Linked DNA regions of Danio rerio. The protein of the gene in region 1 purifies or fractionates together with the protein of each later gene. This does not show direct contact. Links are inferred from orthologs where the notes say so. Each region holds a gene or a part of one and is shown in the gene's direction. Other genes may lie near its edges.

Region 1 (4,045 bases):
GTTTTGTTAACTGGAACTTAAACTGTAGTTAAACTTTATTGTACTGCATTTGAGCTGTGTTTATACTTCATTTTTATAGCAATTGTACTTAATTCATATGCAATTATACTTCTATTTACTGCTGTTGTACTGCAGTTTTACTTCAGTTTACTGCTCTCGTTTACTGCAGTTATTTTTGTAAGGGCAAACAACAACAACAATCCAGGGGTTTTCAGTCATCTAGTCCAAGATAAGTGCCAAATCCTGCAATAAAGTCCTTGTTCTTATTGCTTTTAAGTTTGTTGATCCCTCAATAGACTCAAAATACATTTTCATTTCAATTTTACATTAAGAAAGAAAATCCTAACCCTAAACAAAATACACTTACAAAATTTGTTTTTGTGAATATGAAATTTGCCCAACAAAAAAATCAGGTTATGAAATAAGTATTACTTTCCTTTTGACTTTTACAGAAACCAAAAAAAAAAAAAAATTCTTATAAGTAAATGCAAAATGTGCCAGCACATAATCTTTTATAAAATCAAGAATATCACATCAAAATGTCACTGAATGAGGCCAATTCCAAAATAAATGAACAGAAGTTTTAGGAATCTCTAAGCAAAATGGACAGTTGATGTTAATATTATTCATAAGCCTTTTTAGATCCAAATGGTTTGGATAGCATCTATTAATCAGTTTAAATGTAACTTCTCTTATTTTATTTATTTATTTATTTTAAATGTGGGGTAATGAGCAAACTTTCTTACATGAAATTGTACCAAAGAGCTTAGAATGATCATGAATGGTCATTCTAAGCTCCTTGAATTGTACAGAAGCCTTTTGTTTTTGTCGAATCATAAATTGTACGACTTCCTGTTTCGTAACGTCACGTGACGTTGGCGTGAGGATTGTTTACATCCTCTCATCATCAACCCATGTTTTCATTTAAACATATAAAGTGAACAGAACAAAAGCGCTTAGACAGTACCTACATTTACTGTTATCAAAATATGTATATATACACGTGTCCCAACAAGCGACCACTTTCGTTTGCCAATTTTAAAGAGTGGCGTTAATACTAAAAGTTGTTTATTTAATTTCATTTCAGCATGTAATCATTTAAGTCCACGAATAACTCAATAAATTTATTGCAGCTAAGCATTTAAAGTCGAAAATTATAAATGAAAGTGAAATTAAATAGCAAAAGTGGGAGATCACGTGCTTGCGTCGTAGAAGGAGAGCGATATCCAGAGCACGTACTACATCCGTGATTAGATGAACATGGCGCAGGGGAAGCAGGCCGTCGGTGGACTGTAAACAAGAGGAAATTTCGGGATTAGATTGACATCGTACCATGCACGTGTGAAATGGTCTCAATCTCGATATACTGGACGACTCGTTCTGCTTCATTGATGACTACGAGGCGACAAATTGAGTGCAACGCATCACATTGCATTCATAAACATTTCTATAGGACTTCAAACCCCTGAGCATTCATTGTTTTGGATATTTAATCACACAAAAACCTTGCTTGATTGTGGATGCACGAGCAAATGGCTGCAGTTGGGAAAGTCAAACGGAGTACGAGAGATTTGCCTCGAGGCGTGGAGAGGTTGAAAGATGAGCACAGGAAGGTCAGGAGTAATGTTTATTTCCATAACAACAATGCATTCCTGCAGATATTATTGTTGATGTTCATAAACGTGATTTGTCATCAGCGTTTGAAAGATTTGTCGTCGATTTTAATGTCGTTTATTTTGTATATTTGCAGCGTTGCCCGTTTCATTCTCTGGAAAGTTCTCTCTGTATCACGTGTTGCCGTTGGTTTTCTTTTTGCAGTTACTGCATTTTTGTTTGCATGTGTTTTTAATACTTTGCTGTAAAATCCACGTGTATGTGTTTACATGAAGCTTATCTTGATGTTAGTAGAAAACTTTACATGTGACGTTAACTCCAATTTAATCAACCACATGGCACATGCCCACGTTGCCTTAATGTATAGAGCAAGTAAAAGCTTAAAGTACTTTTAGAGTAGGCAATGAAATGGAAACGACTCCCTGTGAAGGTAAGGTTTAATTGACCCATTTCTATGTGCATGGAGTGAAAAGAATAGGTGAATGTCATACACACAATGTCTTTGACCCCATTTGTTCACAGTTGAAGATAAACACCCAGTTGGCTGGATTTGAAAATTACGTTTGACCTGCTTTCTTTACAGCAAAGATGTGTTTTAAAAAAAAACTGTTTTAGAATCCCTGAGCAACAAAATAATAATTATAGCTTTGTCTATTACATTTATTATTATGGCCACATTTAGCTTAAGACACCCATAAAAAATATTTTACCATAACAGAAGTTTATACCAAGTAGAATATACTGTATATTGGCAGGTATATTTAGAACATGTATCATTTGATGACATTAAAATACTCCTAGTCCTAAGCATTACAGTGCAACCCCAAAACACAAAGTATTTGTAACTTTTAATCCATATTCTCTGCCAGTATCATTCTATCATTCATTTACTACTTTGTCATAAATTTAGTTTCTTTATATTACAAAAGTTTGTTTTATAATTGTGTGTGTCTAATATATATATATATATATATATATATATATATATATATATATATATATATATATATATATATATATAATCTCGTCACCTTAGAATTATAAAGTTCTATTTGACATTACCTAGTATTCGGAATGCTTTTATGGCCATTTAAAATGTCAAAAGTTACCTAAAAGCGAACCGTACCTCTTTTTTGGTACCCTTTGGCCTTAGTGTCCCACCAGTGACGATATACAGCCATATCACACTGCCACGAGTTCAACAGTTCAGTGGCATAAGACTACCGGAGTCTCTCAAAAACACTTTTGTATGAGGAACTACCTTCTTCTGGCAATTATTCACATCTGCACCTGACATCAGAACAGCAGAAACCTGTGCTAATTCACTAACGTCACTTTAGAGCTAGTATTTAAAGGATTCTCTAGCGTAATGTCTAAAGTGATGACAAAACAGGTCATTTTGCTCACATTTTAAGATTATAAGGATGAACGGCATGAAATGCCATCAATGTTTAGAGATTTCCCAGTATTTCTCTGTTGCGATTGGGGGATCACAATAATTAACCCCGAAAAAACCAAAGCAACGCAAATGCAACCAGATTACTATGGTATAAATACAGCACTACAACATACAAAAGAGAAACATCAACTTAGTGACACTTATTTATAATGATTTGATCAGCTGTAATTTGATTTTTTTTATTTTTATTTTTGCTGAATTTTTCCTCCCCTAAGCACTTATCGAGGTTTTTGTCGCCATTCTGTAGCAAAACGTCAACCGTCTATGCTTTGCTCAGTGACAGGCTAACGGTCTCTCAGAAATTATAAATATTCTAAAATTGCCACTATCCTTATAAATAAACTGCAAAGTTGCAATCTAAACAACTACATTCTCACCTCAAAAGTACATTATGTTGTCCAAAACCCTTATATTTGTCAATCTGTAGTAAGTTTTTTCATCTGCTGTCACTCTATGTGGGCGGAATAATACAGAAGAGTATGAAGGCTGTACAAGTGCTGATATAGCAGAATATCGTACAGCCAAACAAAACGTGTGTGTTTGTGTGTTTATTTAAATTTTTTTGACATCATCTTGTCATTTACCTGTAGAATCTGTAAAGATCTTGCATATTCCACACCAGTATTTACATTGGAAGTTATAATTAACCTACTATCATCACATTATTTTAGTAGTTTAGCACATAATTAACCTTGAAACTGTCATTGTTTTGCCAGTCACTCTGAAATAACCTCATTCCTTTTATGGAAATTGAAAAAAAAACATTCAATAGCAAAAAAAAAAAAAAATGTAACATTTACTCTGATTTTATTGAGAAATGACATGAATGGGAATAATATGTAAAGGCTTGTCCCACTTTTCACAAGGAACTTTCAGGACTGTCATTCTCTGTGATGGCCAATTCACGCTACTAAAACATTACTGATAATTTAGCAGTGGTTGTTAATTGTTGTCTGTGGTATTTTTAATATT
Region 2 (4,054 bases), on another chromosome or scaffold:
ATCTAAAGAAAAAAAACATTAATTAAATAGTAATTATTGCTCACAAGTGACTTAGAATTAAGATATTTGATCAAGTTTTTTTTAATTATAAGCATTAAAACATAACACTATGTATTAATAAAAATTCAGACACAAACTATATCCAAGACCATTACAATAAGTGCAAAAAGCCACATCCAGAAATAATATTAAAACAAAAACATAACAAGTAAAAATATTAAATTAAATATAACTAGTAATAAAAAAAAAAGATTGGCACACAATCAGACTACAGTGAGGGATCAGTACCAGAAAAAAAAACTTCATGAAATCTAACATCAAGTCATTTTTTTGTTATTAATTTGCATTAGAAACTTTTTCAAAGTTTCCATTTCTAATAAAAATTAATAGCATTTTGGTATACACTTCGCAAACTTCTGTTTATGAATAAAATATTAACCTTGTAGCATGTAAAAATTAACAACATACCAACATACTCTAATGAGTGTGTGTGTGTGTGTGTGTGTGTGTGTGTGCGTGCGTGCGTGCGTGCGTGCGTGTGTGTGTGTGTAAAGAGCAAATACAATCTTTTAACATGTATTTGCCCAAATAACACGTCACTAACATCATACTAAAATGTAAGAGACATCACAGTTATAGAAAAGATGTGATAAGTGTGCAAGTATTGTCAACATTCATGTATTTAGATAAGATAAAAAGAGATTAATTGATTTATTTATTATTTTATTTATTATTTTTTTATTATTATTAAACAGCAGCAAATATACAATTTAAACATGACATCCAAAACTACAAATGTAACCTATAACATAAAATAAACTAAAATATAAATTACATAAGTTAAATAAATAAAAAGACTGTAAAGATATTATGTCATGTAATGCGCTTTGGGATCATGTAATGACGTAAAGAACCGTCGGAACATGTTGAACTGTTCCATTCAGAGCTGCTGTTCAAATGAACCATTTGATGAAATGACTCTGATTTTTTCACTACCGTTCGTTTGACAGGCTGCAGACGGCGCTGTTAGTCGAATATCAGTTGTGACCATCGAGATGCCTGATTAAAGTGCGATCGTAAAACCTATTATTAAGTCAAATAATAAACTAAAATAGACTGTTTAAATGTACGTACTTTTTGTTCCAAGTGCAGATAGTTTCTACATTTTTAGTTTGAATTTTACTGTCTGCTCACTTCCGCAAATTTAGTCAAAACTAAGATGGTCAAGCGGACCGGGGTCCTAAATTGGGTCCTCGAGAATAGTAAACACTAACGTTACTGGTTAGCAAGCTGGAACAAGCTATAAATTAACAGTGACTGCGGTTTAAGGTTAATTAGATCATGGAAGACAGTGAACTGGAAAGGTATGATATTTCTAAATGTCAATTTTCCCCCTTTTGACCAGTTTATTGGACTAGTTTACGATGCAGAATATGCTAACGCCCTCGGCTTCGTGCAAATTGGTCAGTAAATTTGTGTAAACCAAAACCTGAGACGAAGCACCATACTTTTGTTATATAGCAAACATTTCGGTATCCTAGAAAAGTCTATTTTGCACCGTCAGAGATTTAAACGTGCTATTTAATTTGGGGTCACGGTAATACATAAATTAACCCGTTTCTGTCGTCAAATGTCTCACTGTAAATAATTTCCCCAGAAAAGCAGTGGAGGAGCTCCTTAAAGAAGCGAACAGAGCAAAAGCCCGTGTCGAGACAATGGGTCCTGCTGGATGGTAAGTTTGGATCACTAAATTGATAAATTACAGATATTTAAAGTGACCAATTTGAAGTCTTTTTCTATTATTAGTAACCACTATTGCCCCCACTCTTTTACACACACGCGCACACACACAAGGGTGTAACTTTGGTTTTCGGATGTGAACTTAAACCTGTGTATGTATATATACAGTACTGAGTACACCCCTTAAAGATCTGTATTTTAAATTAATATGTAGTATAAAATGCTTTACAGTAATGCATTTTGCACAAACTCTTTAGATTTTAAGGTACAAAAGCCAAAACTGTGACTAATCAAATATGCTTTTCACAATAATCAATATATCGACTTATCGCACAACACATTGACATGACATCTATCATTTTTGGTGATGTAATATATATTGCCCATATATAAAAGTCAATTCTAGCAACATTTTAGCTGATGGTGCAACCTCTTTATGTTACTGTAGTATATTTTCATGCAGGTGTCTGACAACTGAAAATAGATCTGGTAGCAGATCTTGCAGCCTCTGTTACTTTTTACATTGCACTTTTTACTACTATTTATTCAGGATATGTGTTTTCACATGCTGATTCCCCTGCCTCATTATTAAAGTTAAAATGACTATAAATTAAATGAAACATCCTTAAGAATAAAATATTATGTGGTCTTTAGAAGAGTGTACTTGCATTTTGATGTTATTATATTGTCATTTTGGCATTATATAATAAGTGGCATAAAATGGTCTCAAAATGACAATATTGTTCATCATAATATATGTTGGTGCAATATATCATACAAGAAAAAATAGATATTATGACAAGCTTATAATTAAAAAAAACTATTTAAGATCACAGTGCAAAAATCAGTACACCTTAATTAATATACTGGGGGAAAATATTAAATAATATATTAATAAACGGGAAAAATACTTTTTTTTTTTTTTTTTTGCAAAAACTTGTTTGATTGTAAGTGTATTATTTTCTATCCTCGAAGGTGTTAAATGACTGAACCATATAACTGTTCTGTTTAAATAAACCAAAGATGATTGGCTGTATTCATTGGAAAATGGCTAGAAGAAATATTTATTTTTAATTGGGTGTAATCGTTTTTACTGGTGTTTTTACGGGAGAATCTTGTGGGAGTGCGGTAACAAAAGTGTCAAATGACTAATAATTGTAGAACATTTGAGCTGGCTTCAGTCCTTAGTTCTTTCATTTTCCTTTTCATTTTATTAAAATATATGTATTTAACTTGTTTGTTAATTAAATACAGTTCTGTCATTTAACCTATTATTTTTATGCAACAGTCAAGTTGCATGCTAATTTGCTCTGTGAAGGTTACGCGATTTATGTTTAAAATGTTGGTTATCGTCCTCCAAATCAAAAGATGTATGTACAGTATGTATGTATGTATAGACATTTACATTAGATGTTGCCTACGCTTTTTTCATCTATTGAAAGGAATTTGTCGATAGAGTCGCCATTTTAGTACAGGGTAGCGCTTCTTTAAAATGAATGTGGGTTCAAGGTGCAGCGGAGGACTGGCCATCCATATATACACATATACACATTTATTTACGATCGGGGGGTTTTCCATTGGTCAGTATGCAAATATTTTATGAAATTACAAAAATTATAAGTTTACATCACTTTTCTATATTGATGGATAAATGATTGCATGGGCATTCCTGGCAAAGAGTGTGTGATTGTGTGCATGGAAATGTATTATCTACCCTCCCTGTTTAATTTGATCTAATTCATGTCCTTAAACACACCCCCTCTCCTGCTTTCACTTTTCATTCCAACGGAGGGAGGGATTCGTTTGTGAATGAATCTCTGTTAAGAAGGACTTGATCACTTAGTTGACAATAATACAAGTTTTCACAGCAGCACCTTCTTGTTATATTTCATTTACATTGTTATCTCATTTTATTCAACAAAACTAGCATAAGTCTAGAATTGAGTGCCAGTTTGTAACATACAAAAACATAAAAAACGAAATCTTACCTATGAAATGTTCTGCCTTTGTGCTTGGTTTTCTTTGTTTGCTTGTTACTACACCCGTAAGCAGTGCTAAAGTCCAGCATCTTCACATTGGCTTTAGTCTTGATTAGTGCAGTTGAATGATGTCCTGGGAGCACTGTACAAATGTGGCGGCGCAATTGACGCATGCTCAGGAACCATATGCGATAGTGTATATATCTATGGAATGTATGTATGTATGTATGTATGTATGTATGTGTGTAATTAACTACTATATATGTCTCCTAAAGCTGCTTAAATTGCCGTTTTGTTTTAGGATGAAATGTCCACTGGGAAGCACAAACAAGCGC
Region 3 (3,975 bases), on another chromosome or scaffold:
GAAATGAGTGTCGTAAAAAAATTGTAGTTTTAATGTGGTGTAGATTTGTAGTAATTTGTGCTTCGAATCTTTGAATTTCGTGGTTAATGGGAAATCGCTGCATTATTTTTTTAGTAACGTTTATTAAAGTAATATTAACATAGTAATAGTGACAAAGCACTTGTTTTAATATTGATATATGCTAATATTGATAAACAAATAACAATTAAACAAAACTAAGAATTTATGAAAAAAATGCTTTATTAAAACAATCATGTTTATTCATAATTTAAATTCTCATTTAAACTATTTATGGTTATGAATAACTAAACTAAAATAAATAAATTATATATATTTATAATATATTTTATATTTACTTACTAACTTTTATATTCATATTAACCTTTATTAAAGCAATTTTACATGACAAATATTACATGCATTTCTGTACATATTTATAACATACAAAGTTGTATTTTAATATGTATTGTTAAAAAATTATTAAATTATAAATATGTACACAAAACATTAATAAATACAAAGTCAGTTTTGACAAAGATAATAATAATAAAAATAATAATGATGATAATAATAATTTTATTAATGATAATAATAATAATAACATATTATGTATATGCATAATATGTTGTTATTATTATTATCATTATTGTATATATATATATATATATATATATATATATATAAAATATGCATTAATCTGGTATTTATGCAGGTATGTTCACTATTATGGAGGACGGATTAGAATGTGGACAGATTAATAATTAAATTAATAACATGGTTATGGGGCATTTATTTGCGTATTAATTAATTTATTATTTTATTTATGCAGAAATGTGTATATTAATTAATTAATTAATTTATTTATTAATTTGCGTATTTATGCATTTATTGTTTTATTTATACAGGAATTTGTGTACTTATTTATTAATAAGTTAGTTAATTTATTTGCTTATTTATTTTTTTATTTATGCACGAATTTGAGTATATTTTTATTTATTTATTTATTTGCGTATTTCTTTGTTTATTTATTTATTTACTTATTGTTTATGCAGGTTTAATCCTCCATATACTATTAAATAAACAAACAAATAAATAAACAAATAAACAGGCAAAAAAAAAATAAAAAGATCGAATACGCTACTGTCGTAAAAAGCGCGCCACGAACCGGAAGTAGTAGTGAATCAAGTGACCAGAGACGAAGCACATTGTTTCGCGGCATGTTTCATATTTGTGTTGAACGAAAAGAAAGTTGCTTCATTTTACAGTAGTTTTATTATTAATATTTCTGAGCTGGGACGAGTTTACGCACAGTGTATCTGCAGGAAGTGCACCAGAAAGCGCTTATTCAAAACAGCATTCAGCAGGAGAGTGTTTGAATGAAGCGTCTCCGTCGAGTTTTGTGTTGATTTCTACATAATTTAGTTTTCAGCGGGATTTTAATTCACCAAACTGAGCATTTAGTGTATCCTGCTGGAGTATAAATGGCTGGGATTCTGTTCGAGGATATCTTTGATGTGAAGGATATCGATCCTGATGGGAAGAAGTTTGACAGAGGTGATTCATTCATTCACTTATTTATTTACTGGATAAAACAAAAGTCTCTTCAATGTGTTTTATAACGTTAGTTATTGATAAAACTTACAAACAGCATGAAGATTTAGATTGAGGAAAAGTTGGTTTATATTCGCACATTCCTTCATTTAACGTTCTCCATGCTCACATGTAAATCACATGTAAACATACATGACTTCACTATTTAAAGTTTGCAAATTATACTTTTATTTAATGATATTATTAAGGAGAAAGTCTAAATGTGCGTATATAAAACTACCTCAATAAGGTTTATTTGTTGGTTCGATTATTTATCACACAATAATAATTAGACTTATTGTATACTTATTAATACTACTTTAATGATGGAAGTTGAAGAGCTTAAAACTTTTTAATTTTTAATTTAGCTCATTTTCTTGATCATATATATTTAATATTTATTTTAAATGGAAAAATATGAATATATTAAATTAAAAATGTATTTTTTTACATTGTCAATGTCAATTTAAATGCAAATAAAACAATTTTATTGTTATTACTATTATTAATAATATTAATTATTATTTGAGATTTTTTTAATATATATTCTCTTTAATATTCTTTTTGTTGATGCTGCCTAAATAATATGCAGTGATCAAAATTAAAAATAAAATCAAAACATACTGCGTAAAAGGCATATCTGAAGGCAGAGCCGTTTATTTAATTACTGTTTTTATATATAGAGGTAAAGTTGGTTTTATATTTGCACATTCGTTCATTTTGCAGTCTCTATATTGTTGACCATGTTACTTTGAGTTTTCGATCGGAATTAGCACGCAAGTATGACTTGTAAACAACATTAACACTGTTTATCTGAATGTGAACAATGTTGTACTTTGATAGTCATTTGCTGCTAACATGATTTCCCTATATTTAGTATTGGCAAATAATACTTTTTCTTAAAATATTATTAAGGAGAAAGTCTGAATATATCCGAATATAAAACCAACTTTACCTCTGAAGATTTTTTTTTATCATACAATAATAATCAAGCTTATTGCATATTTATAAATACTACTTTAATAATGGATGTTGAAGAGCTTAAAGTTTTAATTTAACTTGTACATTTACTTGATCATATATATTTAATATTTACTTTAAATGGAAAAAATATTAATATATTAAATAAAAATTAATAGTATATTTTTACATTGTCTAAATGTCAATTTAAATGCAAATAAAACAATATTATTATTACTATTAATAATAAGTGTTTTTAGTACTTAGAATTTTTAAATCTATATTCTTTAATATTCTTTTTGTTGATGCTACCTAAATAATATATAGTGATTAAAATAAAAATAAAATCAAAACAAACTGCGTAAAAGGCATATCAGAAGGCAGAGATGTTTATTTAATTACTTTATTTATTTATTTATTTATTTATTTTTTTTTTTTATAAATCAACCACTATTATTTTTCCCCCCTAAAAGTCTAGAATTCACTAAACACTCTTGATTTGTTGTTTTGTATTTGTGATGATCAGTGTCTCGTCTTCACTGTGAAAGTGAGTCTTTCAAGATGGACCTCATCCTGGACGTCAACATCCAGATTTACCCTGTTGATCTTGGTAAGTCACTGTTCTTGCTCTCTGTGTTGTTCTCTGGGCTGCATAGAGGTAAAGTTGGTTTTATATTCACACATTCAATCAATGATGTCATGTGCAAACAACCTATAATCCATTACCTTTTTACATTTTCATATTGTTACTTGTCTACTTATCTGTTAATTTGGTCATTGCATAAATAAATGATTAAAAAAAACAAACAAATAAAGTAATTTCTCCAGTGTTTTGTTCAGACGAACGAAATTGTATGATTATAAAAAAGGAGGCGTGGCACCTAACCCCACCCCTAAACCTAACCGTCATTTGGAGATGAGCAAATCGTACTAAAATGTATGAATTAGATCGTTCGAATTCGTACGAATTAGCCACTAAATGAAAAAGTTACGAATTGCCGTGAGATTGTGTTGGTTTTATCAGCACTCCAACAGTATTTACATGTTTTTCCGGTATCCTGCTGCCCTAGTGATGATAATGTTGTGTTGCTGTCATATGCTAATGAGGATGATGTCATTGTGTCAGGTGACAAGTTCAGACTGGTGATCGCCAGCACTCTTTATGAGGACGGGACGCCGGACGATGGAGAATACAATCCTCAAGACGACCGGCCGTCCAGGTCATACATTACTCCTAAACTAAATCTTAGATATTTCATGTCTACGATCAAATCAAATCAGGCCTTTATTTACACATACACTTTCGTATAGTGAAATAGAACCCCAAAAATGTAAATTAATTACTAATGACATCATTAAAGTTGTTTAAATGACTTTTCTAGTGTCATGACTGATGGGCAACTTTTTTTAATCAATGAGGAATTG
Region 4 (3,500 bases), on another chromosome or scaffold:
GTCAGAAAAGTGTAGTGGCTGAGAATGGGCTTTATACAGTGTCTGCTATAATGTTAATGTTGTTTATGTGTTTAAATTGATGAATATGGCCACGGTGTAAATACACGGTGTACAGTTATGAGCTTATTGCCGCATTGTATCGATATGATAACATAATATTGTTGCTTTTGGTGATTTCCTGAAGATAAAGACCAAAAAAAAAGAGCACAACTGGAAAATCTACAGCAGTCGGCATCATCGATCTCATTTAAAGAAAGAGTTTGCGACGGCATTTGATGATGTAGTAGTGCTGTCCTATTTCTTAGGGGTATATTTGAAGTAGGGGTTATACAATATAATTGGGATTGAGTCTTAATGTCTTGATTGTGTTGATCTGGCAGACGGAGGACCTGGTGAAAGCTCTGCAGGATCTAGAAAACGCTGCTTCAGGAGACGCCGCCGTCAGACAGAAGATCGCATCTCTTCCGCAGGAGGTGCAGGACGTCTCTCTGCTGGAGAAGATAACAGGTTAAGATCAAGTTTAAGGGTGCTTTCACACCTAGCCGTTTGTTTCTTATCTTGGCACGTTTGTCCTGTCAGCTCAGTTCGTTTGGAAATATGTGAATAGTGTAATCGTGTTCTGATCCGCACCAAGTCAGTCGGACTGAGATCGCCTGAATGAGATGGTCTCGCCTTGGTTGATACGAACTCTGGAGCAGTTTGGTTGTATTGATAAAGCAATATGAGCCAACGAACTAACAAACCAGGCTTTATCACAGTGTGTAATGGTTATGTAATATGTAACTCTGAGTCAACTATTTTGCTAAAGAATCAATAGTTTTAAACATGCTGCACTTTTAGATTTAACCCTCAGCTGGATGTTTTCATTCACTTATAGCTGTGTTACTCAATGCATCGAAGCTAATTATCAAAAACCCTCAATGTTTAATGTACATTGGGGCTATTTTGCGTTTATCGTGTGAATGCTAACGTGTTTGAGGATATACTAATATAAAGCAGAAATGTGTTGACTCGATCATTATCTTGCTCATTGTGGTTTGCATGAATCTCTTCGTTTGGTTGTTGTTTGTGTCAGCAGATAAACAGGCAGCAGATAAGCTGTCAAAGACGGTGGACGAGGCCTGTCTGCTGCTGGCTGAATATAATGGACGTCTGGCCGCGGAGCTGGAGGACCGCAGACAACTGGCCCGAATGCTGACCGAATACATACAGAGCCAGAAAGACGCGCTCAACGAAAGAGAGAAGAAGCTGGAGGTACCACATACACATCTTTTTTTCCCCTCAATTTATGTTTAACAGAGAGATCGTTTCCAACACATTTCTAAACATAATAGTTTTATAACTCATTTCTATTAACTGATTTATTTCATCTTTGTCATGATGACAGTAAATAATATTTGACTAGATGTTTATTCAAGACACTTCTATACAGCTTAAAGTGACATTTAAAGGCTTAACTAGGTTAATTAGGGTACGGTTAGGGTAATTAGGCAAGTCATTGTATAACAGTGGTTTGTTCTGTAGACTATCCAAAAACAAATATTGCTTTAGGGGGCGAATAATGTTGACTTTTAAAAAATTAAAAACTGCTTTGATTCTTGCCAAAAATAAAACAAATAGGACTTTCTATAGAGGAAAAAATATTAGAGGAAATACTGTGAAAATTTCCTGAATCTGTTTAACATCATTTGGGAAATAATAGAGAAAGAAGAAAATACAGGAGGGTGAATAATTCTGACTTCAACTGTATGTGTAAAACAATTTTTATTTTTATTTTTTTTGCATTTTATTGACTTTTATATTGTGTTTTTATTTGAACTGACTGTCCTTGTTGTCTTGTTTGGTGGCCTTGAGTGTCTAGACAGGCACCTAAATAAAAGGTATTATTATTATTATTATTATTATTATTATTATTATAAATCATATTGTACAAACATTAACAAACTTTTTTTACTTAACCAAAAGCAAAGAGAGAAGAAAACCTCAAAATCAGAGAAATAAAAAAATATAATAATAATTTTAATAAATACATTTAAAAAAAAAACTTAAAGCATGCCAAATAAATAATTCTTAAATCGAGAAATTTTTCTAGACAAATAGAAATTATTGTCGTGTCTTCCTAAATAAAATGACAATGAAGAGAGTTTTTCCTTAAAACAAGCAAAATAACCAGCCAGTGATGTAAGTAAAATCTTGTTTTGGCTTAATCACATTATTGCTTACCTTATTGGTAGATTATTTAGCTTGTTTTAAATGGGAAATGAAGCACTCGGTCAAGTTTATATTATTTTGTACATGGGATTTACACTTTAATGAAACTATGTTAAACTCTATTACTGTAACCATTTAGCAGAAAACAGCGTTTTTTAACTATAGATTTTAGACCTAGGGAGCCGCCATCTTGGAATGTCGAGGTGTCTGACGTCACAGGGTTGTTCCGTTCTTTACTTAAAATAGAAAAAAAAAAATAGAATAAATATATATAACTTTACATTAGACACACATCTGATGCTTGTATTTGCAGCAGCAAATCCACAACTTCACCTTTTGGGTTAAATTAGGCTTTACAATCTTCTTTACTTTTACTGTATATGTTTAGCCGAGGGAACGGAACCAACCCCGTGACGTCAGACACAGCAACATTCCAAGCTGGCGGCGCCCTAGGTCTAAAATTTATAGTAAAACACTCCATTTTGTTCTAAATGGTTGCATTAATCGAGTTTGTTTAATATATTTTCATTAAAGTATACAAAATAAAGTAAACTTGACTGAGTGCTTTATTTCTCCTTTAAGGAAAATCTCACTTAAACTCAATTTTTACCAGTTCTTACAAGTTCTGTTTAACTGAGAGAAGATTTTCTTCAACACATTTCTAAACGACAGTTTTAATGACTCTTTTCTTATACCTGATTTCTTTAATCTTTGCCATGATGACAGCACGTAATATTTGACTAGATATTCTTCAAGACACTTCATATCGCAATATTTATCACAGAAAAATTAAATATCACCATATCAGATGTTTCCAATATGGTGCAGCCCTTGTGTGTTGATTTATCCGGTGTGTTTTTGCAGGAATACAAGCAGAAACTGGCTCGTGTCACACAAGTGAGGAAGGAGCTGAAATCACACATCCAGAGTCTTCCAGATCTTTCTCTGCTCCCGAATGTGACGGGCGGCCTGGCTCCGCTGCCGTCTGCTGGAGATCTGTTTTCCACCGACTGAACATTTCATTTCTGAGACTCACAGACACTGGCAGAGCAGAGCAGAGCAGAGCGGATTAATGATAACAATAACAAGCGTATGGAGATTTCCAAAACCCGCCGGTCCACTCATCACTAAATCCGACGCCGAGATTTTGTTTTGCCGTGACTTTGCTGTGGAAAGCGACTCTCTTTTGCTTTGTCTGATACCTGTAGGTTTTTAGTTTTTACTGCTCGGATAATAATTTGGCTTCATTTTGGTTTTGGGAGGAGACTAAAGATGAGGATTCAGTTTTA
Region 5 (4,004 bases), on another chromosome or scaffold:
GCACAACTATTACTATTGACACCAGGAACCCCTGTGACGTAGGTTGATAATTTCTCTAAATATAGGCTTAAGTTTTTTAATTTAAAACAACTTTGAACAGATTCCTTATTTTATGATGGATAATAATAAATTAGCATTTGAAAAAATAAGTATTTTTTCGAATTTCTTAGTTCAAAATGTTTAATTTAAATTCTAATCTCATTACATTATTTGTAAAAAGTAATAGTGTAAATTTTAAATGCACAGTTGTAAATAAACACAATTTTTTGTTAATAGTATGGTAAGCACTTTGACAAAAATATAGGAAAATATTTGTTGCGTCAAAAAGTATTGTAATGATAACCATCCGACAAGCTAATCCAAAAATTTGTGCTTAAAATGTCAATGTATTTGATAAAAATGAGCCGAATAGCTGCAAAAAGTTCCACTTTTTGAGAACCCTTTTAATAGGCTGGCTACGGGCCTGCATTGCAATGCTGTAGTATTTTTAATACCTAAATTAGCATGAATTAAATGCATACTGAGTAAATACCTTACCACAAATGACAAAATATGTAATGGTATTGACAGTTGACAAAGGATGAGGTTAGTTAACATGAAAAGTAATGTCAAATACTATAAAACTAGTTTTTTTTTAATGCCAAAATCAGCATTAATTAATTTCTAATGCAAAAATACTACAAATTAAATAATATTTTTTTTACTATAATGAATGACAATTGACAAAAAAATGTGGTTAGTTAATATAAAAGGTCATGTCAAATACTGTAAAACTAGATTTTATGCCAAAATTAATAATTTTTTATTAGGTTATTATAATAAATAACAGTTGACAAGGCATCTGGTTAATTAACATAAACAGAACTGTCAAATAATGTAATACTAGTACATGTGTATACCCGAATCAGCATAAATTAAATGCATAATGCAATTTTTTCAAATGAAATAATATTTGTATTAGGTCTACTGTAATAACAGCATGCCAAAAGACGTTGTTGGTTAAAATAAATAATTATGTTAATGTGTAGGATATGTTTTAAACATGTGTTTTTAAAAGTTTTTCATTGCAATTAACATTCAACGTCACACGTTATTGTGAAAGTCAGCGGCACGCCCTCCTCTTTCCTCCGCACTACTTTTCTTCCTTTCCTTTGTGTTCATCCGCCCTCCCGTTTCCATCAGCGGTGAAACCGAGCCGAATTGCGTGTCCTTCCGCAGAGCCGGTGCGCCACCGCCGCAGCACGCGCGTCTAACGGGCCCGCTCGAGCATTTTAATCTTTTCTTTTAGAGTTTTGTGATTAACCAGTTTGTTTTTAATCGAAGTCGTTTTATCTGTCGTGTCTGGTGTGTTTTAAGCGGTGGTGTTTGTGTTTTTATCGGCTAGTCATGGCTGACATCGACAAACTCAACATAGACAGCATCATTCAGCGCCTGCTCGAGGGTGAGTTTCAAGCCAAGTGACAGCTAAAATGTACTTTTAATAACATAAGTAACTATATAATTGCCATAAGGGTTGTGTGTGTATATGTATATGCTTGATCTATCAACTCTGTCGTTTTTATGGATGTTACGTTAGCTGAGCTAGCGAGAGTTAGCTGCGCATTAGCTCTGCTCACTGACACAAACGGCTGTGTGTCAAATACAGAGTTTTCTACATAGACACTATACTGATATATTTGAAGATTATATATTATTGGTTGGTTTCGAATGGACAGTACTTTTGACTATAAAATACACTCTGTGTGGGCAGTTCACTGGTGTTTGTGACACTGCCAAGCTGTACGCGCGGTTTCGGTGCTTCAGTAAACACATTACGTTAGTACACTGACTAATGCTGATATTATGATATTGAATACATATTTGAGCATCAAAACAGCTGTTTATTAGTGTACCACAGTCATTAAAATTAACAACAGGGCTTGAAATGTCAAAAGTGTGATTTCTAGCGCTAGGAAAAACAATATTTTTGAGTTCAACCCAAATTTATACAATTTGAGGGTGTCATCTCTATAAAATGTTTATTAAAAATCCTTGCTTTAATTAGACATCTTAAAACCTTATTTAATGACTAACAATATGAAACTGTTGAAAATGAGAACTTTAAAACATGATAAACTCTTAATTCTGATTGAATATGAACACTGTATTTGCTTATATTATGACTTTAAACATGTATTATTATTACATGTAAATATATTTTTTAGGGGGGGAAGGACATCACATCCTGTACAACTGCAGGTTATACAGTGTTCATACAGTCATGGAAAACCTGGAAAAGTCATGGAATTTTTACATGGCATTTTCCAGGCCTGGAAAAGTTTTGGAAAAACAGAAAAACCTACACAGTTTTAGAAAAGTCATGACAAATACTTGAATATAGGCTTTTCTCTTATTTTCTGTCCTTGGCCAATCACATACTCTCATATTATTAGTGCGGTGTAAGCATTATCTAAATTAATTTTGCATGGATATAAATTGAAAGTAAATGGATTGTTGCATGTTTTATGCTATGCTCTAATAAATTTGAACATGCATTGCTTTTCTTTTACCACGCATATGTAGACATTGCATGAAACATTAGGTCATGAACATTTACATGAAAGTCTTGGCAAAATCATGAAATTTTAGTAGTAAAAATGTGTATGAGCCCAACTATGTTTACAACATTTTAGCTTTTTTTTGAATTGACTGTAATGAAATGTGCACCTTTTGTAAAGCTGCTTTGAAATGAATTATTGTGAAAAGCACTATACAAATAGATTTATATTTTATTATACAATGAATTGTATCTTTGCAAAATATAATTGCTTTCTGGAATGCATTATAAAAGCAGCAGGTGCAATAAAGGCAGAATGATTATGCAAGATTTTATAGTTTTATTGTATACAGTGAAGAAATGCATTTACATAACATTTCTCGCTTGTTTAATTTTTATATGCAACACAGTTCATATTGGCAGATATTATTATTTAGACTAACATTAAATGTATTATTAAGGTATGTATCCTTCATAAGCGGGTCTGACTTCAGATTTAGCACTGCAGCAGCTTTGACCCATTTTTACTTGTACTTTCTGCAGTAGTGATTTCAGCATCATACACATACTGATATGCATGTGCTTTTACTTTGTCCTCTTACACTGTAAAAAATATATTAGTGAACAGTTTCTCTATTTTGTGTGTTTTGGGTTTATTTGCGGTGGCAAATTGCATTATGCTATGTTGATCTCTCCTCTGTTGTATTTTTAACATCAAAAGTGCACAAAGTGACTTATTCACATTTTAGTCATTTGAAATAATAATATCATGTATAAAAATAATATCTAAAGAAATAAGTCTGTTAAAGAATAGAAAATGTTTGTTACAATGTTTTTGTAGCGTAATATACAACACCAACCAGACAGTATATCACTTTAAGCTATTAAAAAAGTAAATAAGTCACTTTTTTTAACTTTACAAGGTTAAAAGTTGTTGGAGGAAAGTAATAATCCAATTCAAAAGCGTAAATAAATGGGGGAAAGTAAAAACATGAATCACAAAATACATAAAACTGCTTATTTAAAGATTTTTTATTGCTTAGGTTTATTTTTATGCAGTGTGAAATAATGGCTGCGCTAAAATTTTGACATTGTCATGGAGAGATGCTATAAATTATATTTGGGTAATAATAATGCATAATGTTTAATTATGATGCACCTTTCTAAGCTCAAAGCGCCACAACATTTACAAACATAAGGTTGCAACCAAAGCCTAAATTACAAACTTTCATAATCAAATCTCTGTATTAATTCACATCGCAATAATGAATAAAAAACAATTAAGCAAATTTATTTTTTAAAATGTCAGTGATATCACAAATGGGCAAATATGGCTCTAAATTTAAAATTATTTATTTTAAAATAAATATATTACCAGTATATTAGGAACACCCTACTCCTTGCATATTTTCTAAGATTCCTCTGTTAAATATTTTATTAGACTGTCCTGCTTTTAATGTTTGTAGAA
Region 6 (4,020 bases), on another chromosome or scaffold:
AATTAATCATCATCAAAACAGATCATATGCCTACAGTGGCTCAATCAGAATATTATCAAGCTACGAGAATACATCTGTGTGCACATAAAACAAAAATAACTACTTTACTCAACAGTTTCTTCTCCTCAGTGTATTGCATGTGTTCACGAGTGGTGTGCACTTATGTACTGACTATGACTTCCTTAGTTTGAAACAATTCACAGACACATTTGAGGTAATAAGCAAGTCAGAGGTGCAACCAAACGCGGCACATAAATGTGAGCATTATACTGACACAGAGGAGAAGAAACTGTTGAAAAAAAATCTGTAGAATATAGAAGATTTTAAGCTGGAACTATTACCCTCTAGTATTTACAACTACATTATCAGCTATTCACAACCTGGACAAACAGCTCTGAGGAAGATTTTAAATATATTAAACTCAAAGTGATGGCGCTTCTTGACCACCATTATATAGATAACGTACATAGGAAAACATAGTTCTCAACTTAAAAAAAAAACGTATTTTCTGTTCTACTTAAGAACAGAATCTTGGGATGTCAATTAACCGAACATTTTAATATCTGGGTGAATTGTCCGTTTAAAACAGCCCCTTGACTGCATGTACACCTGAATGGGCAGGTCACACAGAAGCGGGTCCTGCACTATGAGAGCCAGCCCTTCTTCAAAGATGTCCAGAATTTCTGAGTGTGGAAGAGCCTCCTCGTCTTCTTCCTCTTCGTGCTCCTCTTTTATTTCATCTTCCACAGTTTTCTCCTCTAACTCTTTTTTGAGCTCGGTTTCGTCCTTTATTTCGTCCATTTTATCTTCAAACGTCTTGTTTTGAGGGTATAGAAATCCAAGACTTATAAAAAAGTCACTAAGCGTTAATAGTTAACATAACTACAATTTCGTAAAAAAACTGTACGCCTTTTGCAGAAGCTTATTGTATTAAAAATTGTAACTTTAACAATTTGAGCCGTTCCAGCATTTCTTTTTACATTTCATTTTTATAAACACGCTGTCGGAATATTTCAGTGATGCACCCGACTTTAGTTCCGCATAGGTTTTTTATGATTCACATTCTTTATTACAATAACAATCTTCTATTAAAATATTTTTTAATCAGCATTAATATATTCGTTGACATTTTCATATATATTTAAGTTTAATATATACAACAGAAACAGTGTTCATCCTTGTCTATATTTCGTTTTATGGCGAGCCAATAATACAGAGGCACATTGATTGTCATGTGCTTCCTGTAGCGACTTAGAAAGGACTGTGTGTAAATACCAACTTCAGTTGCATCAGAAAGAAACTATAACTGTATTTACTACGTAACATAATCTATGACTGTTTGAAAATGCTCCTGTTTTGTCCGACATGTGGGAATGTGTTAATCGTGGAAGAAGGACAGCGATGCTTTAGATTCGCGTGTAACACATGTCCATATGTGCACAACATCACGAGGAAGGTAATGCATAACACCGGTTATGGAAATTTGTATCTAATAAGCGTTTGGAACGTTTGATTCGAACGCATTAAAGTTCGACGGAACGCCGACATTTAAAAGTTCGATTCGAATGAAACGAAAGAAATGACTTGATTCGATAATATGAGAACGTGTGAGGAACATCTGATGAGATCAATGTTTCTAACATTACAAATTATATAACAAAAATAGATTTGAGTGAGGGAGTGTTTATGTTCTATCAAACATTGCTTTCAGAGCATGATAAATAACGCTGGGTTACTGAGTAGTTACTTAAATGAAATGGTTAAATGATTATAAGATTGTATTGTACTTTAAAATGCTCTTTATTTCATCACGTTATTATATTTATGTATAAAATTTACAGTTTTAGAATAAATTCTCATTAAAAGATATTTTGAATAATGCTGGCACCCATTTTCTACCATAGTAGGAAATAAGAGTTGATTGAAGTCAATGGATCCCAGCAACATTCTTCAAAATATCTTCTTTTGTTTAACAGAAGATATAAACTTACTCAATGTACTTAATAAACCAAGAACTTCGTTTATATTATCTTGAAAACGTAGGAATTAAAAATATTTTAGAAATTTTTTAGAAATATTGTTATAGCTTCAGGTGGATAAACATCTGGATACTTAAAAGTTTATATTTGATGTCACTTCATAGATACTTATGTATGTGTGTCTTATCATCAAATGTTCATTCATAAATTGCACATACTTCTGAATTAAATCAGCCACAGTGCCACACGCAGGTTAACATTTTACCACCACTCTTTACTTCTCTTGTGTCTATGAACTCCGTAACATTACAAAACTTCCCATCATGCCACCTGTTTCCCGTCTTAAAGACACAGATGCAATTATAGCACATGACAATACTAACTTCAGAATCATAACACAAAACCTGGATAAATAAATCACCTCTATAAACTACTGACATTGTTTTTAAAAGATAGCTCTTAAAAACTCATTTTTGCATCCCCCAAAATGCTGTTGTGCAAACAAATGGCCAAAACACATACAAGTTTTCAATGCTTAGTTGGTCTGTAAATGTAATTGGCTGTTAAGTGAAAAAGTCAATTTCAAACTCTGATTAGAATTCAAAATGACGCTGTTTTAGACACTGGTAACAACTGTATTTATACAGTGACATATTAAAGAAGAGCCACTTGTCATAGTATTTTTGCTATTTATGTCATTGATAGTTTTTTTCAACATTCCGCATATATATTCTTTAAAGTCTGTGTGAAATCCAAATTTACAGTGTTTATTTTACAAGCACACAATGCTATTCTTTAGGTAAATGATAAATCCATGCAAGCTAATTCACCGAAAAAAAAAATCTTTGTTCTGATAATCTTCAAAGTCTGACCATTTGCTCTGGCGTTTGGAGTGGCAGTCCTTCTCTGATGATGTCAGTTTGGCAGATGCATCCACAATATTCCTAACCACGCCCCTCTTACCTTTAGTTGATGAGGGAATGATGTGCAAAAAGAAAGCCCCGCCCCCTACTCAATATGCAGTTTCAGTTTGAGGTCCTTCAACATACTAAAATAAGTCTCAGCAACTTGCAGTAAAATTAAAAACACTTATAAATCACCTTGAACCATCCTTGTTTTTATTAGTATCTAACAATTGAAGCTTGTTTCTATGAGGGTTAGGTTTATGGTCAGGCATAGACAGTATCATTGACCTGATAAAAAAATAGGAAAACAAACCTGTTTATGTGCTTTAACAGGTAAACAACAGAAAGTACCCCAAACTGAAGGAGGTTGATGATGTTCTTGGAGGATCTGCTGCTTGGGAAAATGTGGATTCCACTGCAGGTAAACAAATGAAACTTGAAAAGTAAAGTTTGCTCACAAACTTATGGTGGATTGACTGAGACTAGTCTGAAAGTTTGAAGTAGTTTTAAAGTTTAATTAATTGAAATAGTTTTTAAGAATTTTGAAACAGTCGGCATAGATTGATAACTACATATAGGTCAGCATGTATCTAGTATGGATTGGTATGTTTTAGTATAGATTGGTATATGGTTAGTATGTTTCTAGTGTGGATTAGATTATTATAGTATGTTTCTAGTCTGGATTGGTATATTATTAGTATGTTTGTTAGTATGTTTCTAGTATGGATTTGTGTGTCCTTAGTATGTTTCTAGTGTGGTTTATGTCTCTAGTATAGATTGGTATATTGTTAGTATGTTTTAGTGTGGGTTAGTATATTTTTAGTATGTTTTAGTATGGATTGGTGTGTCCGTTAGTATGTTTCTAGTATAGATTGGTATATTGTTTGTATGTTTCTAGTATGGATTAGTATATTTTTATTATGTTTTATGGTATGAATTGGTGTGGCCTTGGTTTGTTTTTTAATGTGGTTTATTATGTTTCTAGTATGGATTGGTATATTTGGAGTATGTTATGTTTTTCTTCCATGGATTGGTATATTATTACTATGTTTCAAATGTGGATTAATATATTTTTAGTATGTTTGTTAGTATGTATCTAGTATGGATTGGTGTGTCCTTTAGTGTGTTTCTAGTGT
Region 7 (3,651 bases), on another chromosome or scaffold:
TTTTTCGCCATTGAATATGGTCATTTAGATTTAATTACATTTTATATAAGTAAAATTTTTATCTTCATCTAGCTTTTTTTTTTTTTTTTTGCTTCATCTTAACCTTCATTCATTCATTTTCCTTTCGGCTTAGTCCCTTTAATAACCCGGGGTCGCCACAACGTAATGTTTTGTATATTCACTTAAATTTAACGTTGGTCATTGAAAACATGTTGTTACATTTAATAATGATTGACCACTTAAGGATGATTTATATGTGACGCGTTTGCTTGAGTGAGCATTTTTGAGACTGGCACCGCATTTCTTTTTAGTTGAATATGAATCACTTTAAAGAGATTTTATCTAAAACAGGTAAGACTGTACAGACATCAACCCGATGACCAACAATTTGGCTAGAAATTGCAACAGCCATGGGAAAAGGAAGAGAGTTTTTGTAATAAAGTTCAGAAAAACTTGAGGGATAAGTTTCTTAAAACCAAAAAGTGAGACCATGTCAAAAATGGAGACCCAGGTGGTTTTATACACAATTACAGAATATGCTTTTCCACCATTCATAGGTGTTACACTGATTTATATATTACAATTTTGAATTTAAAACAATTTAATAGTTAGAAAACTAAAATGAAGTAACATATTATTTGTTTTTATAACTGGAAAGAATATTTGAAACGGTTTACAATATACTGATGCCCTGTTTTTCAAGGCTTTATTTGTGATATTGGTCAGGATCGTTGGACCTTTTTAACATACAACTGTAGAGGACATAAACTAGCCAGACAGTAATGTGTGAATTGTTGATCAGGCTAAATCTAAATTTATTTTTTAGTAACTGTACTTTTTAAAATAAAAAAATATATTTGTAGAGCAACCCCTGTTCTGTTATAATTAATATTTTAATAAACTATAATACGTGGAATTGTCTAAGATATGAACAAAAGCAAGTGATGCATCAAAGTTTGATTGATTAATTGATTTATTTTTTATTAATTAATCTTGAATGCTTATAATAATTTATAAAAAATAATTAGTTTAAAAATCTTGAATGACATTATTGATATGACGTATTTCCGGAAACTATTTACTTGATTTTACGGTGGGTACCTCTTGACCAACCCCTTTCATTTAAAAAAATATTTAATCGGCAAACGCATCAAGTATAAAAGCCTCATCCATTTCGTGAGGTGCGTGCACAGTCAACAAAGGTCTACTACGTGGCGCCAGACAAAAGTATAAATCAGCCATTATATAAGCAATCAACTAAATGAACTTAAGATATTATAATAAAATATCACAGACACTTGTTCTCTAGTGATTTCATGCTGAGTCTCTTACTCTTGCAGGGTTGCTGTGTGATTTGCTGTGGTCAGACCCCGATAAGGACGTTCAGGGATGGGGAGAGAATGATCGTGGTGTTTCATTCACGTTTGGTGCTGATGTAGTCAGCAAATTCCTGAACCGCCACGACCTGGACTTAATCTGTAGGGCACATCAGGTAACAGTTCATTTCAACCCATCTCATCCATTATTGTGTTTCATGAGTTGGACGTGCAGATGTTGTGTTGTAGTTTGTGTAGTGATCGTGTGCTGTTTTGCAGGTGGTTGAGGATGGTTATGAATTCTTTGCGAAGCGGCAGTTGGTCACTCTGTTTTCAGCGCCAAACTACTGCGGGGAGTTTGACAATGCCGGTGGAATGATGAGTGTGGATGAGTCACTCATGTGCTCTTTTCAGGTGTGGCATTATTCACGTGCACGCACACACACACACACACACACAAGCATGCATTGTGCTTTCCAAATACACTCAAACACTCCCTGTTCTCTTTCAGATCCTGAAGCCATCAGAAAAGAAGGCAAAGTATCAGTACAGCGGGGTGAATTCAGGGCGACCTGTGACCCCGCCCCGTACTGCCCAAGCCCCCAAGAAGAGGTGAGCGGCTCGCCAGCCGGAACCACACTCTCCATCCCCCATCCCCACCTTCAGCAAAGTACCCCTGTATGGGGCAGCTTGTCCTTCCCAATTCCCCCTCTGAAGTCTGTCTACTCGCCCTGCCAAACCTCTTTCTCCTTTCTTAAAATTTGTGTACAGAAATTTTGCTGTGACCAGTGGAATTCTCTTTTCTTTTGCTCTGCTTGTTTGTTTATTGGTATTTTAATAACATAAATAATAATAATAAATACTGCTTTTGGTAAGCAGCTCCTGACTTGCTCTACAAAGATCCCAGAGCAAAACACACACTCGTTCTTTTACGCAAAGATCTCGGTAGTGTGCTGATATATAAGCATTTTGTTGAACTTTACTTCAGTACTCTTTGATTATTGAACATTAATGTCGATTCATGAAGAAAGAGTGATGATTGTAAGTATTAATGGTTGATGTGTATTTCGCTACACGATGAAGTTTCAAGACCAGAGGCTTTCACGAACACACACACACCTAACGCTGTCAGGGTCACAGGTCAGCAGACACTTCACACAGACGCAAATCTATTGTCGATAAAATAGGTCAGTGTGGACAAAGCTAGAAAAAGGGATTTTAAATTGGATACCGTGACATGCGCGCGCGCACACACACACATTTGCACAGCTGCATTTACAAACGGCATTGCATGTTCTGTTTTCTTAAAAACCTCTGGGACTTACAGCAAAACTCTATAGACCTCTGTTTAACGTGCTGTTTTTATGTCTGACGATAGTAATAATTCAGGAGAAAAGTGTCACGGCATAACACTTTGCATGACCCATGTACATGTCTGTAATAACCTGTCTGAAATGACGTAATCCACCAGCCATTTTCTCATTGGATAACTAAACCAAGTGGAAAATAACCTCCAAGTTGAAGAGTCACACTTGTTTGAAGTTCCCCAACATTATTTCGAAGGTTAAAAGTGATTTAATTTGATTTGTTTAACAACTAAAAGAGTAGCACATGTGACTAAACAACAATGCCTTTGTGTGAGGGTTGCTCTTCCTCATGTGGATATTCATCTGTCATAACACACTCTTTTTTTAATGTTTTTATTTGTGTGTGTTGCTGTTTACTTCTCCTTAATTTATTTCCAAACGTTGGGAAAAGCTATCAAAGTGTTCTAAAAGCAGTTCATGAGTTTTGTATAAGTGGGCTTCAAAATTAATAAATGGAAGAAAACTCTCTTTGCCGCCTCTGACTTTGTTTCCCTTAGCAACCGTATAAATACCAGGCTAATTAAAGTGGCGGAGACCATAGTTCTGGACGCTATTCAACCGACTTTTTCCTAGTGTTTCATTAAAATAAGCAGCACTGTAAGTCTCCAGTGCTGGAAAATGTGGACGAGGACAATCTGTGGCCTGTTGTCATGGCTACTGCGGCCCAGCAGGGTCAGGCTCCATTTCAATGCAGACAAAAGCAGACAATGTGCTGAGATTATTTTCAGTTGATTCAAGTACCATCTGAAATTTCACATCGGATTTGTTTAATGACCTGAATAAATGTATTTAATCGATCACAAAATAATCCTGCCACATTTAATGTTTCCATGAAGTAATCTGGGCTTTGGGTTTTAGAGGACTGACTTGTGCTCTTCAGGTAGGATGTTACTGGAACATTGCAGTTGACCATTCAGATATTTAAATTTATTTTAAGGAAGCAAACAGACTCTATCATGGTAGAGTTA

Evidence for each region.
Region 2: the proteins of uri1 (region 1) and si:ch211-140b10.6 purify together in Homo sapiens (affinity purification with mass spectrometry; 4 studies listed by BioGRID and IntAct, with this or other methods). This does not show direct contact. The link is inferred for Danio rerio from reciprocal best matches to the Homo sapiens genes URI1 and POLR1D.
Region 3: the proteins of uri1 (region 1) and polr2h purify together in Homo sapiens (affinity purification with mass spectrometry; 3 studies listed by BioGRID and IntAct, with this or other methods). This does not show direct contact. The link is inferred for Danio rerio from reciprocal best matches to the Homo sapiens genes URI1 and POLR2H.
Region 4: the proteins of uri1 (region 1) and rprd1b purify together in Homo sapiens (affinity purification with mass spectrometry; 3 studies listed by BioGRID and IntAct, with this or other methods). This does not show direct contact. The link is inferred for Danio rerio from reciprocal best matches to the Homo sapiens genes URI1 and RPRD1B.
Region 5: the proteins of uri1 (region 1) and ppp1cc purify together in Homo sapiens (affinity purification with mass spectrometry; 9 studies listed by BioGRID and IntAct, counting the BioPlex papers as one, with this or other methods). This does not show direct contact. The link is inferred for Danio rerio from reciprocal best matches to the Homo sapiens genes URI1 and PPP1CC.
Region 6: the proteins of uri1 (region 1) and polr3k purify together in Homo sapiens (affinity purification with mass spectrometry; 3 studies listed by BioGRID and IntAct, with this or other methods). This does not show direct contact. The link is inferred for Danio rerio from reciprocal best matches to the Homo sapiens genes URI1 and POLR3K.
Region 7: the proteins of uri1 (region 1) and ppp1cb purify together in Homo sapiens (affinity purification with mass spectrometry; 3 studies listed by BioGRID and IntAct, with this or other methods). This does not show direct contact. The link is inferred for Danio rerio from reciprocal best matches to the Homo sapiens genes URI1 and PPP1CB.

Annotation. Positions count from the first base shown.
Region 1 is NC_133193.1:16,045,470-16,049,514, forward strand, and holds the start of uri1 (unconventional prefoldin RPB5 interactor 1), read left to right. Parts: upstream 1-1,245; 5' UTR 1,246-1,532; coding exon 1,533-1,613; exon of another isoform or gene 1,614-2,017; coding exon of another isoform or gene 2,018-2,044; intron 2,045-4,045. UniProt on the Homo sapiens protein: Involved in gene transcription regulation. Acts as a transcriptional repressor in concert with the corepressor UXT to regulate androgen receptor (AR) transcription.
Region 2 is NC_133199.1:25,556,434-25,560,487, forward strand, and holds the start of si:ch211-140b10.6 (protein POLR1D-like), read left to right. Parts: upstream 1-1,254; 5' UTR 1,255-1,341; coding exon 1,342-1,364; intron 1,365-1,657; coding exon 1,658-1,732; intron 1,733-4,020; coding exon 4,021-4,054.
Region 3 is NC_133197.1:38,621,830-38,625,804, reverse strand, and holds the start of polr2h (DNA-directed RNA polymerases I, II, and III subunit RPABC3), read left to right. Parts: upstream 1-1,175; 5' UTR 1,176-1,481; coding exon 1,482-1,554; intron 1,555-3,076; coding exon 3,077-3,160; intron 3,161-3,676; coding exon 3,677-3,770; intron 3,771-3,975. UniProt on the Homo sapiens protein: DNA-dependent RNA polymerase catalyzes the transcription of DNA into RNA using the four ribonucleoside triphosphates as substrates.
Region 4 is NC_133198.1:46,851,370-46,854,869, reverse strand, and holds part of rprd1b (regulation of nuclear pre-mRNA domain-containing protein 1B), read left to right. Parts: intron 1-380; coding exon 381-507; intron 508-1,075; coding exon of another isoform or gene 1,076-1,078; coding exon 1,079-1,254; intron 1,255-3,075; coding exon 3,076-3,225; 3' UTR 3,226-3,500. UniProt on the Homo sapiens protein: Interacts with phosphorylated C-terminal heptapeptide repeat domain (CTD) of the largest RNA polymerase II subunit POLR2A, and participates in dephosphorylation of the CTD by RPAP2. Transcriptional regulator which enhances expression of CCND1.
Region 5 is NC_133180.1:2,464,584-2,468,587, forward strand, and holds the start of ppp1cc (serine/threonine-protein phosphatase PP1-gamma catalytic subunit A), read left to right. Parts: upstream 1-1,204; 5' UTR 1,205-1,386; coding exon 1,387-1,441; intron 1,442-4,004. UniProt on the Homo sapiens protein: Protein phosphatase that associates with over 200 regulatory proteins to form highly specific holoenzymes which dephosphorylate hundreds of biological targets.
Region 6 is NC_133178.1:45,547,072-45,551,091, forward strand, and holds the start of polr3k (DNA-directed RNA polymerase III subunit RPC10), read left to right. Parts: upstream 1-1,220; 5' UTR 1,221-1,345; coding exon 1,346-1,456; intron 1,457-3,217; coding exon 3,218-3,305; intron 3,306-4,020. Other genes in the region: snrnp25 (U11/U12 small nuclear ribonucleoprotein 25 kDa protein), read right to left, coding at 610-801. UniProt on the Homo sapiens protein: Core component of RNA polymerase III (Pol III) which synthesizes small non-coding RNAs using the four ribonucleoside triphosphates as substrates. Can mediate Pol I proofreading of the nascent RNA transcript.
Region 7 is NC_133192.1:27,031,225-27,034,875, reverse strand, and holds the end of ppp1cb (serine/threonine-protein phosphatase PP1-beta catalytic subunit), read left to right. Parts: intron 1-1,340; coding exon 1,341-1,492; intron 1,493-1,595; coding exon 1,596-1,730; intron 1,731-1,827; coding exon 1,828-1,932; 3' UTR 1,933-3,151; downstream 3,152-3,651. UniProt on the Homo sapiens protein: Protein phosphatase that associates with over 200 regulatory proteins to form highly specific holoenzymes which dephosphorylate hundreds of biological targets.